Oryctolagus cuniculus: one gene and its partner. The protein of the gene in region 1 interacts with the protein of each later gene in a pairwise test. Links are inferred from orthologs where the notes say so. Each region holds a gene or a part of one and is shown on either strand. Other genes may lie near its edges.

Region 1 (8,417 bases):
TGACTTCACATTTTGTTTTATAAATAGCATGATGTATATGGCCACACAAACCAAGAATGCAAGAAAGTTGTTGTTTACAGATGATGCAGATGAATAAACATTTTTTAACTTCCTCAAGAGGATGGAAACCCTAGTTGGACCTGTTTTCTTTCTTTCTTTCTTTCTTTCTTTCTTTCTTTCTTTCTTTCTTTCTTTCTTTCTTTCTTTCTTTCTTTCTTTCTTTTTCTTTCTTTCTTTCTTTCTTTCTTTCTCTCTCTCTCTCTCTCTCTCTCTTTCTTTCTCTCTTTCTTTCTCTTTCTCTTTCTCTCTCTCTCTCTCTCTCTCTTTCTCTCTTTCTCTCTTTCTCTCTTTCTTTCTTTCTTTCTTTCTTTTTGACAGAGTGGATAGAGAGAGAGACAGAGAGAAAGGTCTTCCTTTTGCCGTTGGTTCATCCTCCAATGGCCGCCACGGCTGGCGCGCTGCGGCCAGCGCACCGCGCTGATCCAAAGCCAGGAGCCAGGTGCTTCTCCTGGTCTCCCATGGGGTGCAGGGCCCAAGCAGTTGGGCCATCCTCCAATGCACTCCCTGGCCACAGCAGAGAGCTGGCCTGGAAGAGGGGCAACTGGGAAAGAATCCGGTGCCCTGACCGGGACTAGAACCCGGTGTGCCGGCGCTGCTAGGTAGAGGATTAGCCTAGTGAGCCTGGACCTGTTTTCAAACGTGCGTTTCTTTTCACGTTTGTTTAGACCTCGGACAGGATCATGTTAAGATGGGTCTCATATCTGAGAAGATTAAGTAATGTGATCTGTCTTTAAAATTTCTGATGGTTTTAAATAATCAAATACTCTCGTACTGCTGTGGGAGGGAGAAGAGAGCCCCCTCTCGTGGCTGTGGCAGGTCATCCACCTAGGAAAGAGTTCACCAGTGACCTAACTGTTGTAAGCCTGTGTGTTTCGAGCAGAGACTCTCCCTCACTTACCTTTCATTGTCTCCCAAGGGACTGGTTTTTCTTTCCTTTTTTTTTTTTAAGATTTGTTTTATATTTATTTGAAAGAGATGGGGAGGGAGAGACAGATTTTTCATCTACTAGGTCGCACCCCAAATGGCTGCAATGGCCAGGGCTGGGCCAGACCAAAGCCAGGAGCTTTGTCCAAGTCTCCCACTTGGGTGCAGAGGCCCAAGCATTTGGGCCATACTCTACTGCTTCCCCAGGCACATTAGCAGGCAGCTGGATCAGAAGTGGAGTAGCAGCAGGGACTCAAACTGGCGCCCATATGGGATGCTGGCATTTCAGATAGCAGCTTAACCTACTATGCCACAATGCAGGCCCCCTGGTTTTAATTTCCATTTTTGCCAGGTGAGGTGCTTGGTTTGGACCTCAGTGCTAGGGCTGTACATGCATTTCTGAATGTTGTTGAACTTCTGGTCACTTATGAGTTTTACTACCACTCAAAGGATTAGGTATATATATGTTGACTGTCTTTAAAAGCCAAGATCTAGCACCTTTCTTGCAGTGACTCTTCCTTTTCACCGCCAGAGAATTAGGCAGGCTGCCTACAGCCTGTCTTGGCTGAGGAGGGGAAGTGCGCCACCCGCCACTCAGCCTCCCTGAACCCAGGGGACAATCAGGCACAGCGGGGAATCCAGTCGAAGCAGGATCTCACTTTATTGTAAAAGGGAGGTGTTTATAAAGCTGCAGTACAGAGCAGATGCGGGCAAGGGGTGAGCTGATGTGACGCAAAAGGGTTTTAGCCACTCCTGTTATACCACCTCAGTGATCCTTAGGCAAAGCGCCCTGGGACTGGGTTGTTTACCCCCAGGGATTTGAAACTTAAAGACAGATCTTCAAACTCGAGGCAGGCTTAGGAAGTTCTAGGCCTCTCCGGATCCAGCCTCTCCCACACTTTCTGGTTACATGGACATATTAGAAATAGCCAGTTAAGGCCGGCGCTGTGGCTCACTAGGCTAATCCTCCGCCTTGCGGCGCTGGCACACCGGGTTCTAGTCCTGGTCGGGGCCCCGGATTCTGTCCCGGTTGCCCCTCTTCCAGGCCAGCTCTCTGCTGTGGCCCGGGAGTGCAGTGGAGGATGGCCCAGGTGCTTGGGCCCTGCACCCCAATGGGAGACCAGGATAAGTACCTGCCTCCTGCCATCGGATCAGCGCGGTGTGCCAGCTGCAGCGCGCCGGCCGCGGAGGCCATTGGAGGGTGAACCAACGGCAAAGGAAGACCTTTCTCTCTGTCTTTCTCTCTCACTGTCCACTCTGCCTGTCAAAAAAAGAAAGGAAAAGAAAAGGAAAAAAGAAAAAGCCAGTTAAGAGTAAGACCCTGACTTTCATCAGTTTCCATGCCTTCCTTTTTTTTTTTTTTCTTTCTTTTCTTTTTTTTTTTTTTTTTTTTTTTTTGACAGGCAGAGTTAGTGAGAGAGAGAGAGAGAGAGAGAAAGGTCTTCCTTCCGTTGGTTCACTCCCCAGATGGCTGCTACGGCAGGAACTGTGCAGTTGGGCCATCCTCCACTGCGGAGGATTAGCCAAGTGAGCCATGGCGCCGGCCCGTCCATGCCTTCTTTAGAAATTAATTGTTCCTGGGCCCGCAGCTCACTAGGCTAATCCTCCACCTGCTGGCTTTGGAGTGCCGGTTCTGTCCTGGTTGCTCCTCTTCCAGTCCAGCTCTCTTCTGTGGCCCGGGGGGGGGGGGGGGGGCAGTGGAAGATGGCCCAAGTGCTTGGGCCCTGCCCCCGCATGGGAGAGCAGGAGAAGCACCTGGCTCCTGGCTTCAGATCGGCATAGCGCACTGGCCACAATGTGCCAGCCTTAGCAGCTACTTGGGGGGCAAGCCAACAGAAAAAGGAAGACCTTTCTTTCTCTCTCTAACTCTGCCTGTAAAAAAAAAAAAATTTAATTGTTCCTGGCTACTCTAGTGAGAGGCAGTTTATCTCTCTTTTTAGCTTTTTTTTCCTGCAGGGGTGGGATGAGAGCTTATCTCTTGGGCTTTGGGGACATAGAACTGTCTGATTTTTTTCATTATCACTAGTTCACTGGAGGAGAATGAAATAGGCTTGCCTTTGAGACCTGTTCCTTTCATAGATGCATGTATGTCATTACAGGTGGGAAAAGCCAAAAGCCGGTGCTTTACACACTGCAGAATGCAGTAGGAAACTCGTAACTTTATAACTGAACCAGCATGTGACTAATGTTTGAACTCCTAACACCCCCAAAACAGAATTTTTGAGTTTTTATTTCAAGAGGAAGAAAAATGGTTCAGACCTGAATTTTTTTTAGGAACTCTTAGAAATGTCTTTTCCACTTATGAGTTTCAATGGGTATTGCTAATACTTGACAAGGATTTTCTTGTGGTATTTCATATTTTACATTTAGTGGTTTATATACGTTCTTGGGTCACTATAGCTGGCTTTAGTGGTTCATATACATTTTGTTAAAGATTTTTTTTTTTTGAGAGCTAGTTACAGATGGAATGACAGAGAGAAAGGTCTTCCATCTGCTGGTTAAATCCCCAAATGGCCACAACAGCAGGAGCTGGGCCGATTGGAAGCCAGGAGCTTCTTAGGTCTCCCACATGGGTACAGGGGCCCAAGTTCTTGGGCCATCTTCCACTGCTTTCCCAGGCCATAGCAGAGAGCTGGATCAGAAGAGGAGCAGCCAGGACATGAACCGGTGCCCATATGGGATGCTAGTGCCACAGGCAGAAGCCTAGCCTGCTAGACCACAGTGCTGGCCCCCATATACATTCTTGAGTCAGTGTAACTTGGGGAGCTTTTGCTGTACTGTATAGAGTTGGTTGATGTGTGGAAATGTCATACTACTCAGATTCAGAAGTCTGAGGTGACAGCCATGAGCCATCATTAGAGCCTATTTGACACAGCTTACGTTGTAAACTTAGGAAAACCATTGCTTGCTGAAATGCTTCTGGTGGTCAAAAAACCCACTTAATTCACACATAAGAAATGTGCTGTCTTGGCTTATGTGGTTTATTTTGTTTCATTACTTTAGGTGCAGCTATCTTCTTTGAATTCAAACACTACAAGCCTAAAAAAAGGTTTACCAGCACCAAATGTTTTGCTTTCATGGAGATGGATGAAATTAAGCCTGGGCCAATTGTAATAGAGCTGTAAGTCTGTACTCATTTAATGGTGACTGCTATGTTGGTTTTCCTAGTCCCTGTATCCTTGGACTCAAAAGTATTTAATCCATCCTCAAAGCATTTTAAACAATGATCTTTCTATTGTGGTTACAGATACAAGAAACCCACTGACTTTAAAAGAAAGAAATTGCAATTATTGACCAAGAAACCACTTTATCTTCATCTACATCAAACTTTGCACAAGGAATGATCCTGACATGAATAACCTGGAACTTCTGTGAATTTTGCCACTTGTTAGAAACCATCACAGCTCTGTGTAGCATATTCACCCTTCAGAAGGCAGAAAGCAAGCTGTACCCGTGCCAGTAGGCCAGAGTGAGTCCACTGCAAAGCTGTACCACAGAATTCAAAGTCTAGCACATCACTGATGTATAAGACTCCTTTGGATACAGGTTTATTGTAGATTTGAAAACATATTTTTACTTTTCTATTGTGCAATTAATAGTCTGTTTTCTAAGTTACCACTACTCCTACCCTGCTTCCTGGAAAAATACTGTTGTGGGTAGGTTTGCTCATCTTCGAACTTAATACAGCAATAAGAATGTGCTAGAGTTTACATACACATCTGTTCACTTTTGCTCCAATATGCTCTTTTGGTTTGAGTTAACTTCAAACTTTGGGTTGAGGTGGGTAGAATAGTATCAAACTACTTTAAGAGAAAATGGACCAGTTATGCTGCCTAAGAAGGTCTGTCTGCAGATGATAGGCTGCTCCTTTGAGGTGGCCTACATTCACCTGATCTGATCGTTTTCTTGCTTAGAAATAGTGTGCCTTGGCCAGATCAGTACCCCGTGTGGGAGTGTTTCCCAGGTTGTAGCTGTGAGTTTTTCCAGATGACCAGATTGTTTTTCTGAAAGTGAGCATACTTTTAATCATGTTGATTAGATATTCTTCTGTATCACGTTGTTATTCTTTCTGATAACAATTCTAGGGTTAACATTGGAACCATCTCAGAATTAAATTTTTAGATGGGTTCACAATGTCTTCCAAATAATGTAATCTAAAAATAGCTGAGTCAGATGCTAACAAGATATTGCAGGAACAACTGCTGTTTTCTGACAACTGATTGTGAAATCTTCAAACCTGCATATCTCTTCTTATAGTGATGAGTATGCAAAATCTGGAAAGATATTCTATTTTTTTTAATATAGATAGATAGGATTGCCATTTATTTCCTATTTAGATATATTGGAATTCATCCATATGAGAATATGCAGGTCATTAGCTTATTATAATTTTACTATTTACATTTCTTTTGACTTAATGGGGCATAAATAAAATTTTCATAGTACACATGAGGTGGATATTTGATACACAGAACATTAAAATTTGTGATGGGCTCTCTGTGGGTTAGATATAGAACCCATGTATTTTAATATTCACTATTTTAATGAACAATGCATGAGGGGAATGCAATTTCAGTACTTGGCCTATTTTTAAACTAGTGTAATAACCCTAGTCATGCCGATATGTTTGCTTTTTGAAGTAAGTAATCACAATTAAGTTGTTTTAGCCCTTGCACTTCAAGAGATCTAGTCTTTACTTTCAGTTGTCTGTTAGGTCAATTCTGTTTATTAGTTGGATATTAATAAAGACTATATGAGCCTGAAAGAATTCTCAACCAAGTTTAGTCTTGTCTCTCATCTTGATTGGATTAATTCCAGATTCTCAAGTAACTCAATCCACAGTAGGGCTAGAGGATGAAGAATTTGCCTTAAGGAATTCTTTTTGTCAAATCCCCAAACTGTAAGCTCTTCAAGGAGCAAGAACAGTATTTCCTCCATGTCACACACATTTCCCTAGGTGCTTGGCAGCACTCTGTACCCTGTGGAGTACTCAGTACCTGTTTGATGTTGCTGATGAGACCTAAAATAATCCCTTAAAAATCCTACTATTAAAATGTAGCAAAACTGATACATTGTTCTTTCTCTTTTCTCATGATCATAAGATGTGTATCAAAGTGGTAATTTATATATAAAGAAGCATCTGCTGTCCTGCACTTAAGTATGGTTTATATGAACTACAAATGCCTTTCATCAGTTATTAAAGAAGCTTAAATTGAACACCGTGTGATTAGTTTAGCTTTAATTCAGACCTGAATGAAATGACAAAAAGAGTGATTATCTTGGAGCAGTTGACACAGAGTGTTCCACATCCCACAAATTATTTGTATGCTTTCCAGTGAGGAAGAATAATCAGCCATTAACTGTAACCACACTACAATAGAAATCTTTTACATTGAAATACTGCTGCTTCATAAATGAGACACTTTTAGCAACTAAACCCAGAAACACAATTAGCTAGAAATGACTTCTGAAACAGTTGTAATAATTTTGGAGATGGCAAAGTCTGACTTAACTGAGGACTGGTATTCCCTAAGCCACTTGTACATTAGCAGCTCACTCTGCTCTGACCCTTGCGGCAGAGATACGGTGCCATCAGATGGATGTGAAAGGCAGCAACTGTGGACTGACTCAGAACTGCTCAGGTAGGCTACACTGGAATCTCTTCACAGCTTACTGATTTTTTTAAACAAAATGAGATGGAAAAAACCTTTATTTTCAATGAAAAAACATTTTATTTACCTTTCCAACTTGATTATCTTCCTGGCTGGCAAAATCTATACTTAAAGGCCATTTAAAACTAGAAATTCTATTATCAGCATTATTGTGTGTCCTTAAAGAGATTAAGAGAGATCCAGAAGTTCTGTTTTTGACTTAATCTTCATTTATCGGGGGTAGGGGACCTTTCTTCTGCCAAGGGCCACCTGGGTATTTCTAATATAATTCACAGGCCATGCAAATTTATCAACTTAAAAATTAGCCTGTTATAGATTTACTGAATTTCAAGTCCCACTTGACCAAATGATTTTGTGGGCCTTATACAGTATGCGGGCTGGATGTTCCCCAACTCTGGTTTACATGGTTAAAATGACCTCTGCTATTTCTGTGGAGTTTTCCTCTTAGATTTAATTTCTTCTATTGTTGATATTAAATAGGATGTTTAATAGTTTTCCTGAAGAACTCAGGTATTTCTTATGAACTTTCTTTTAAAGATTTATTTATTTAAAAGGTAGAGATCTTTCATCTGCTGGTTCACTTCCCAAATGGCTGCAATGATTGAAGCTGGGCCCATCCAAAGCCAGGAGCCAAGACCTTCCTCTGGGTCTCCCATGTGGGTGTAGGGGCCCGAGCACTTGGGCCATCTCCATTGCTTTCCTAGGCACATTAGCAGGGAGCTGGATAAGAAGTGAAGCAGCTGGAATTGGAACCAGCACCTAATGTGGGATGCCAGTGTTCTAGACAGCAGCTTCACCCACTATGCCATAGTGCTGGCCCCTTCTTTATGAACTTTGAAAGTGTTACCTTCTTTCAAAGGTTCTCATCTTTTAGACTACTGTTTTCCATAGTTTAGGATAAAGAGATGATTTTTTTTCACAGTGAAAGTTTTGTTCCATTGTACAGAGTATTCTTAGTGGGTTAAATATCACAACAGTAACAAGTCAGGCTCCAGGTTTCAATTACGTGATAGAACTTCTGAGAGTGGCAGAACATAGTCTACCAGTAGACAAAAGTCTCAGCCTTTGGTAATTTTAATCTAAATTTTAAACCTATTAAAATGTGCCATTAAAAGTTAAAATCAAGGGGCCAGCATTGTGGCACAACAGGTTAAGCCATTACGTGTGATGCCTGCATCCCATTTGGGCACCAGTTTGAGTCCGGCTGCTCCTCTTCCAATCCAGCTCCCTGGTAATGTGCCTGGGAAAGCAACAGAGGATGGCCCAATTCCTTGGGCCCCTCCCTACACCCATGTGGGAGACCCAGATGAAGTGCCTAGCTCCTGGCTTTGCCCTGGCCCAGCCTGGCCCCCTCCATTTCGGCCATGTAGGCAGTGAACCAGTAATAAGGATCTCTGTCTCTGTCACTCTTTCAAATAAACAAAATCTTTAAAAAAAAGTCATTAAAATCTCTGAAGAGTTTGTTCTTAGAAACATTGTTTTAAAGGCACAATGTAATAATGGGCATAACACTTTTAAGTATGGTGCAATTCTAGATTCTTAGATTGATTGGTTTTTAAATTAAAGTACTAATGGTCAAATATTAACTTTGGAATAGTATGTATCAAAAAAGACGAGTTCAGCCACCAGCTGCTGACCTAGAGCATTCTATAAGCTGTTCAGTTCTAAATCATTCTTTCTCAGGTATTATACTCTTGTAATTTTTTTTCATATTCCTTGAAAATATGAAGGCACAGGAAAGATACAGACTGTACATTTTTA
Region 2 (9,156 bases), on another chromosome or scaffold:
CCTTTATAAATAAATCTTAAAATTAAAAAAAAAAAAAACTGGTATGAGTTTCATTTTTTTAAAAAAATATGTTATTTATTTGAGAGGCAAAGCTATAGAAAGAGGAAGAGACAGAAAGAAATGTCTTCCATCTGCTCGTTCACTCCTGAGATGGCCACAACAGCTGGAGCTGGGCCAATCCAAAGCCAGGAGCCAGGAGTTTCTTCTGGATCTTCCACGTGGGTGTATGGTCTCAGGCCTTTGGGCCATCTTCTGCCGCTTTTCCAAGCCATAGCAGAGAGCTGGATTGGAAGAGGAGCAGCTAAGACTAGAACTGGTGCCCATATGGGATACCGGCACCACAGGTGGAGGCTTAGCCCATTATGCCACAGCACCGGTCCCCATCAAAGTATTTTTTGAAAATATTAATCCTGGACAGATGTTCAGGATTAGGATTCCTTGGGTTTTTTTTGTTTGTTTGTTTTTAAGATTTGTTTATTTATTTGAAAGGCAGAGTTAGAGAGAGAGGGAGAGACGGAGAGAGATCGTCCATCCATGGTTCACTCTCCAGGTGGCCACAGCAGCCAGGGCTGGGCCAGGCTGAAGCCAGGAGCCAGGAGGTTCATCTGTGTCTCCCACATGGGTGCAGGGGTCCGAACACTTGGGCCAAAGTGATGTCCTCCACTGCTTTCTCAGGTGCTTAGCAGGGAGTTGGACTGATACCCTATGGGATGCCAGCGTCACAGCTTGGGGAAAAGCTACACCACAGCTAAAGCACTTTTTTTCTATGTATATAAATAACAGACCATAGGGTCTCAAGTTAATCACTGCAGTCTGAAGGAAAATTATGGCAGACAGAAAAAATCTAAAAAGTTCACAAAACAAGAATATGAGCCCTCAAAGTTCACAAAAGAATATGAGCCCTCAAAGCCAAGCACGGCCAAGTGAGAACGTGGAGGCGGAGCATCATCCTCACTCGCCTCCTGCCTCAGTGTAAGCACGCCACCTCACTCTGGACAGCCTGCTCCTGGGCAGTCTCATAATTAAAAAACAGCATGTCCTCTGGGCAAAGGGACTCACTGTGCTACAGGTAAAATCAGAGGCCCCTAACTACCCACGTCCTAGCAAGAATAAGACACGCTTTACCAGCGTTAGGCAGAAAAAGCCACTTAAAAGCAACAAGCTGGACTCAAATTTATGGCGTTGTCTAGGGAAAGGTCTCCCAGAAATGCTCCTCCGGGTAAGCTACCGCTTCATGTGGGCAAATAGGCGGCGCAACACGGGCCCTGCCGCTGCACGTCTGCGGAGCTCTGCCTAGCCGATGACCAGGGTCCTACGTGGTAGCTGGCTATGGGTGTGCCAGTGTTCAAGTCTCCATACAGTGCTTGTCCGGGCACTCTGAGGCTTGTCTAAGGCAGAGGGTTGAGAATGACCAAGCCCATCCTCTACTGTTGTTCCTAACAGTCCACAGCACTTCCGTGAGACACTGGCGACCAAAGGAGGAGGAGCTTTGCGTTAAAGTAAGAAGCTGTAGGGCCAGGCCAGCGCTGTGGCGCAGCAGGTTAAAGCCCTGGCCTGCAGCGCAGGCATCCCACATGGGCAGCCGGTTCAAGTCCCAGCTGCCCCACTTCCGATCCCGCTCCCTGTTAATGTGCCTGGGAAAGCGGTAGAGGATGGCCCAAGTCATTGAGCCCCCGGACCCTCATGGGAGACCCAGAAGAAGCTCCTGGCTCCTGGTTTCATCAAATCAGCTCAGCTCCTGTCATTGTGGCCATTTGGGGAGTGAACCAGCAAATGGAAGACCTACCTCTGTCTCTACCTCTCCCTGTAATTCTGTCTTTCAAATAAATAAATCTTAAAGAAAAGAAAAAAAAAAAAAAGAAGCAATAGAGCATGCAAATATGCAGATGCAGACCCTCCCAGAGGAGGGTGAGGCAGCCATGCCCTGATTTCTGACGGGAACCACATTTCCCAGGGATGTGTCCTGGCTTTGGTGTCACCTACATTTCCAGGAAAACAATTCTTAGCAAGAAGACAATCCCTGGTCCCTTCCAACTGGACTGCCTTTTACCTGTGCCTCGTTATTCCAGTGCCAGGGTCTGCTCTGTGCTCAGCTATGGGACAGAGCTAACACAGCAGTCCTGACTTCTACCCTTTGAGAGCCTTGCTTACAATGCTGGCCCTTTCCTGGGAACTTGATTTCAGAAGTGTTCCCCATTCACAGAATGGATGCGAGTGGCCTGTTTTTATGAGCAATTCAGTTTATGTTGACCACCTGTTCTTCTGGAAGTCTAGAATTTGGGTACATTCCAGGCCAACACTGCCTCCGTGAACCACTCCCTGGAAAAAACTCTGAACATGGAGAGTCGAGTGAGCATCCCTGGTTGACAAAATTCCTCATGTACTGTCACAGACTGCTCCTGCGGGCATCAAGTACATGGTGTGTGACTCCACTCCGAGAGGACTCTGGAAGCTTGTGCCTGGTCTCCAGTGGGCTGTGCCCACCTGTCTTGGGCTTGCACCGATGTTGCTCTGTTACCCTTCAGCTATGAATCTTAGCCATGTGACCAGCAAGTCAGTGAATGTGGGGGTGGCCTTGCAGACTCCCACACAACCTGGAACAGCAGTGTAGAGACAGCACTGGCCCCGGGGAGGGTCCTGAATCACAGATTTGGGATGATGTTTTTAACTGTGCTCTGGCAGGAATCCCTCCTACTCGGAGTCCTAACTGGGATGCATTTAGGGTGGCCCCAGTACCTAAGCCTCCATTCAGCAGTTGCAAGGGACATCACTTTTCAGTCACTCCGTGCCTGGTACTGCATGGCTTATGCAAAGACCAAGCTCGTTCTCAAGGCTGCTCTGCATCTCAAGAGCCAGGGACAGGCGTCTTCTTATTTTTCCAGACATTTTCAGATATTCAAGAACTCAAAATATATATCACAGATGTGTTCTTGTTGAAAAATTATTCAAAACACATTCAAGACTGAGGAAACTGCAACATAAAATTTTAAGGCAAAGAGCAACAAAACTCATTAGTGTTGTGGTCTGATTAGAAACGTATTGATTGCAAGTGTCAGGAATTGGTCTTAAAAAGGAGCGTATATGAAAAAAGAACTATCAACACACCATCTGGATCGAAAACAGCAAATTACATACACAATTTGAAGGTGAGAAATGAAATTCTTGCCTAACACAGGGGGAAGTTTGTTTATTTCCTGTCTTACGCATGGGAGAGACAACAAAACAGCATCTGGTAATTAAAGAAACACAGGCTAGGGGCTGGCACTGTGGCACAGGGCAGGTTAACGCCCTGGCCTGAAGCGCCAGCATCGCATATGGGTGCCAATTCCAGTCTCAGGTGCTCCTCTTCTGATCTAGCTCTCTGCTATGGCCTGGGAGAGCAGTGGAGGGTGCCCCAAGTCCTTGGGCCCCTTCCCCCATGTGGGAGACATGCAAAGGACATAGCATGTTTAATGAGGGGAAAATGTTCATTGTCTAATGCTAAGTAGCTGAAAAAAATAGAATACAAACTTGAATTACAGAATGACACGTTTTATAAGGTATCAGAGAAGAATTAACTGCTGGGCAGTGAACTCGCGCGTCTGCAATGTTTCTATTTCCTCTAAAATGAGAACACCAGGGCTGGGTGTTCGGTGCAGCAGTAACGCTGTCATTTGGGACAATGCTCCACTCCTGATTCCAACTTCCTACTGATGCACATACACCTGGGAAGGAGCAGGCGATGGCTCGGGTTGAGCCCCTGCCACTCATGCGGGACCCCTGAACTGGGTTTCCAGCTCCTGCCTCGGGCCTGGCCTGGCCCCAGCATCTGAAGAGTACCAGCAGATGCGAGCTCTCCAGTCTCTCCCCTGCATAACAGATAAAATAGAAACACCAATCCTAAACATCTTATCGCAGGGGATGCTGTAAAATAAATTCAGAAAATTATGAAAAAAGACAACTCAGAAGATTATACATCATCACGACAAAAATTTGGAAAACTTGGAATAACAGTTGGAGAAGAGAACCGAAAAACCCTCTTCAAGAGCGTGCAATCTGACTTACTAACATCTACAAATAGCACGTCACACCGGATACTGTGTTCATGTAACCACTTCATTAGTTTTTCAGCCAATCCAGGGAGAAAGTGATCAGAGAAACCATCAAGGAAACACACATAAATGAACAGCAGAGCCAGAGCCAATGTTTGCAAACGCAGGCTAAATGAAGCCCCCAGCAAAGGTTCACCAAGGACATGAAGAAATAACAGCCCACAGGGTCACCATCTAAAACACATTCCTTCCTATGAGTTCCCGTTTCAAAAGAGAAAATCGCTGGTCTTAGTGGCTAGAATGTAAAAATATAGACACAACTGCATCAGCTTTGCCACTTTTCAACTCAATGACTTGAGGCAAATCACTTTCTTCTGAATCTCAATTTCGGACGGAGCCTGATTTCATTCATCTGGTGCTCCTGGTCCTTAGGTGGTTCCTTACCTAATAGGCTACTGAGAACACTTATCTCACAAAACCCCCCGTACGGCTGCTGTTGGCCTGCTAACAGGGCTCGCTACACCGCTTTAGAAAGTTAAGCGCCAGCTTTCTGCGGCCGAAGCAAGACTGCCATCTGGCGGTGAGCAACCTTACTTTCAGCTATCGTGCAGAAGGGAGTTAAAGGACTTCTCTCCAGAAAGCGGAGTTTAAACGTCAAACGCACACTGAGGCAGTATGGGATGCTGAAGCTAAACCGCTAGTTATGGAACAATTCTAACCAAACCAAAACTGCCACAGTCTTAGAATCACTGCCTTAAGCCTGCACCGCCGCCGCCACCTGCCTGCCTCCCTGTCGCCCCCAAATACTAATTTCCTGTGCCAGTGGTTCTAACCCTTTAGCTTCTTTTTCTGGGTCCAACACGTCTTTAACAACAGGATTTCACTGCCTGGAGCGAGCCCTCTAACCCAACCTCCGTTTTTTATGCTGAAGAAGCTGAGCTCCGGGGAAGTGAAGCCTCAACCAGTGTCCCCACGACCGAAGGAGGCAGGGCCAGTTCCGGGACCCGGGGTCCTGACTTCCTCTGGAACCCGCCGCACGCGCCCCAGCTCTGAGTGTGCGGACAGGTCTCGAGGGGACCTCGCAGTCAAAGAGAAAGCAGACCGGCGGGTCGACTTTCGGGGCGAGCCAGAGATCGGATCGCCAGAGCCCAGCCTCTGATACCCCTGCCTCGCTGCTAGCCGGCCACCCACGTGCCCGCCCCTCCGGGCGTCCTGCGGGTCACCCAGCACCTTCACCCTCGCGCCCAGGTCGGGCCTCTGCGTTCTACACTCACGCTCCGCCAGCATCGACATGTTGCACAGCCTGTGACGTCCGCGCCTCCAGACCTGGAGACCGTGGCTGCCCGGTGCCGGCTCCGGAAGAAACTAGAAGTGCACAACTCTCACGCCGGGCAGTCGGCAGCCGCCCGGACGCATGCTGTTGGCGTCATCGGCGTGCGCCTCGCGCCCGCGACCACGTAGCGGAGGGGCGGGGCATCTTGGAGCGCGGGCGGAGCGACGAGGCTGGGGGCGGGAGCGCGGGAGGCGGAGAGAGGCGGTGCCTCGGTTGGCTTGAGCAGGTGAGCCACCTGAGGCTGGTTACACGCAGGGCTTGGTTGCATCTCTACGCGCTGAATGTCAACATGGTGCCTACTGGAAAGAAGACCTCCGGCCCTTGTAGCCAATTGGGAAGTGAGCCATCGGATGGAAGACTCTCTCTGCCCCTCCTCTCTCTGTGTAACTCTTTCAAATAAAAAATATATATATTAAAAATAAAAAAGACCTGGGCTCCACCTCCCAGCAGCTCGCCGTCTCAGAGGGCAAAGGGTTGGAGAAACTTGGCTGTGGTGCCCCACTTCTGGCCTCTGATACAGATGATAGATTGCATTAGGTGTGACTGGGTCCAGTATCTTTCTGTCCGCCTGTCTGTGGGATCCCAAGCTAAGCAGATACCTAATTCCCGGGGCAGGGGGGTGTCTCTGTCTAAACACCGGGGTGCCTTCACCAAGACAAAGGTTTTTACGTCTTTTCTCCCGGACAAGGTACACACTGGAGCTATGGTTTTGTCATCTCCACCTCTGTATCCTTGCCGGTATCTAGTCTGAGTCTGGTGGGGGCGCCATGTTTGCTTATGAACTTATTAAAGCACTCTCGTGTCTAGAGGAGTTCTAATCAACATGTCGGGCAGACAGGAAGGACTTGGTTTTAGACAGTCGTCTGTCCGTGAACTTCAGGTGGCAGGCGGAAGATGAAAACAGTACTGCCCAGGTGCCAAGAGCAGCTACGTTTGTTCTAAGTGAAACTCGGCGCCTAACTAGGAGTTTAGACAAACAACGCCAGCTTCTCTGGTTTTCTGGAAGTTAGAAGGAGGAAAGAACTGAAAGGGGTCAGAGGAGGCAGAGTGAATGGAATCTTCCCAGGCGAGGAGGGAGACTCCAGCAGGGTGCTGTCCTTAGGACGGCAGGATTACACACGTGGTGGGATCCGGGCAAGCCATTTTATTTCTACTAGAGGAAATGGACGATAGTTACCCTGCATGGAGGACACTGAGTTAGCACGCCTGTGCTTCGCACATGTTAGTCTGTGATTCCAGGAAGGTAGTTTTGATTCAAAGAGGAGCGGGAAGATTGGTGCAGAAGTTGCCGTGGGCCAGGTGACAGGCCTGTGATCCTGGGGGGCACTGCGAGTGTTGGGTGATGAAGATGTTGCCAGCCCTGGAGATGCGGTGAGCACTCTGCCCCGGGCCTGGAGATGCGGTGAGCACTCTGCCCCAGGCCTGGAGATGCGGTGAGCCGTCTGCCCCGGAAGTGCTCACTCAGAGCCATGGGGAATGATGCACACTGGACTCCGTCTTCGTGTGAACGCAGGATGGACTAAAGGTCTCCAATGCTTGTTCCAGTTCGTCATTCCCCTGTGCCTAAGAAGTATCCATGAGGATTATCTACTGAAGAGATGAGGTCTGGAATTTTTACACAATAACAGAATCTTACTTATATTTTGGATGATCGGCTCGGATCAGAAATCGCACTTTTTAAAGGCGATTCAGATAACACACGGAGTCTCCGCTCCAGTCTCTTGGAGGACTCCCTCGGGCCTTGCTTCCCCGTCATGGATGTGCCCGTGGGTCGCTCGGAAACCTTGCGAAAATATGTGTTCTGGGTGGGCGGGTCTGGAGCGAGCCTGAGGCTGTGCTCTGGCAACAGGTGTCTGAGGGCGCAGGTGCTGGGGAGCTGCAGCCCCCTCTGTGTGCTGGGCCATGACACCATCAACGGTGTGCGAGATGGTGGGGTTACAGTACGCTCTCTTTCCTGTTTAACTGAAGGTCTGGATGAAGAACACCTGTAGACGGCAGTGACAGACTCAAAGAACTGAACCTGGCACACGCTTATGTCAGTCCTCTGAGCTACTTCCCTGCCTTCAGGCAGGTAACGCCCAGCATCAGGAACCGATGCTTGCTACTTCGGTTCTGAGCTGTCCAGTGAGTGTGAATGATTCTCCCTCCCCCTCTCTCTGGCCCCCCTACACACACACAGCCCTACTCAGGGTGTTAGTCTGTTAGAGCTGCCATAACCAAATACTACAGACTGGGTGGCTTAACCAACAGTAATTGGCTTCGCACAGTTCTGGAGTATAGAAGACCAAAATCTGGGACTGGTGCCGTGGCTCACTTGGCTAATCCTCTGCCTGCGGCGCCGGCACCCAGTATGGGAGCCAAGTTCTAGTCCCGGCTGCTCCTCTTTCAGTCCAGCTCTCTGCTGTGGCCCGGGAGTGCAGTAGAGTATGGCCCAAGTCCTTGGGCCCTGCACCCGCATGGGAGACCAGGAAGAAGCACCTGGCTCCTGGCTTCGGATTGGTGCAGTTTGGCCGTGGCGGCCATCTGGGGGGTGAACCAATGGAAGGAAGACCTTTCTCTCTGTCTCTCTTGCTGTCTAACTCTATCTGTCAAATAAAAAAAAAAAAAGTCCAAAATCAAATGGCGAGCCTGCCTCGTTGCTGGTGAGGCTGTCTTCCAGGCATATACGTTCATGCTGTGCTCACCTGACCTCTTCTTGTGTGTGCTGAGGGGGGCAGGGACACAGGGAAAGAGAGAGACAGGGAGGGAATGCAAACAAATGCTGTAGCCTCCTCTCTTAAGACTTATGTATTTATTGGAGAAGCAGAGTTACTGACAGAGAGAGGGACAGAGAGAGAGAGAGAGGTCTTCTATCTGTTGGTTTGCTTCCCAAATGGCTGCAACAGCCAGAACTGAGCCGATCCGAACTCAGGAGCCAGGAGCTTCTTTTGGGTTTCCCACATGGGTGGGACTTCGGCCATCTTCTACTGCTTTCCCAGGCCATAGCAGGGGGCTGGATTGGAAGAGGAGCAGCCGGGACACCAACCTGCACCCGTATGGGATGCCGGTGCTGCAGGTGGAGGCTTAACCTACTGCACCACAGCGCCAGTCCTGGTGTCTCTAATACTCCTGTCAGAACATTAATTCTATTAGATTAGGGTCCCACCCTTATGCCTTCATTTAACCTACGTGACCTCCAAGTTGCAGGTCCAAATACAGGCGCCCTGGGAGTTAGGGCTTCAGCATGCTAATTTGGGAAGGGATTGTGCATTCCATCGTCAATAATTACAAAGCTGGGAAAAATACCTGAAAGAATGGTTTTCCAACATTGGGCACATGGCAGGAAGAACTGTGCTCCCTAAGAAACGGGAACAAAGGGTGAGCCTGGGGAGCACTTCAGACTGCAGTATAGCCAGGAGGAACCCAGCAGAAGCCCTCCCCCAGCCCCCGTCGCCCGGGAATTTTCAACCCTCTCTGAATATTTCACACTTCCTATGCGAGCTGCGCTGGTGGTAAGTACTTAGGCAGGTCTTTACAAAGTAACAGTGTCCTGCATGGTAACTGGCAACCTAGAGCCTTCCCAGTCTTAAACAAACCAACCAGATTTTACCTTTGACTCAATTTTTCTTTAATGCCGAGAGAGAAAACTGAAGCGACATAAGGCAGAAAAATGATACCCTGTCCTCTGATTGACTGTTGTATAAAAGCCATGCCTACACATTTCAAAGTGCACTGTGAATTTGGATGGAGTGGCCCATGCTGTGGCGGCTGCGGGAGACAGGGCAAGGCAGAGGAGAGCGTTCCATTTCCAAT

The links.
Region 2: the proteins of AIDA (region 1) and PINX1 interact in binary tests that used the Homo sapiens proteins (3 or more experiments, as listed by UniProt). The link is inferred for Oryctolagus cuniculus from reciprocal best matches to the Homo sapiens genes AIDA and PINX1.

The regions. Positions count from the first base shown.
Region 1 is NC_091444.1:37,042,438-37,050,854, reverse strand, and holds the end of AIDA (axin interactor, dorsalization-associated protein), read left to right. Parts: intron 1-3,987; coding exon 3,988-4,105; intron 4,106-4,231; coding exon 4,232-4,328; 3' UTR 4,329-6,052; downstream 6,053-8,417. UniProt on the Homo sapiens protein: Acts as a ventralizing factor during embryogenesis. Inhibits axin-mediated JNK activation by binding axin and disrupting axin homodimerization. This in turn antagonizes a Wnt/beta-catenin-independent dorsalization pathway activated by AXIN/JNK-signaling.
Region 2 is NC_091433.1:43,680,940-43,690,095, reverse strand, and holds the start of PINX1 (PIN2/TERF1-interacting telomerase inhibitor 1), read right to left. Parts: upstream 5,468-9,156; 5' UTR 5,325-5,467; coding exon 5,306-5,324; exon of another isoform or gene 5,262-5,305; intron 5,215-5,261; exon of another isoform or gene 2,737-5,214; intron 1-2,736. UniProt on the Homo sapiens protein: Microtubule-binding protein essential for faithful chromosome segregation. Mediates TRF1 and TERT accumulation in nucleolus and enhances TRF1 binding to telomeres. Inhibits telomerase activity. May inhibit cell proliferation and act as tumor suppressor.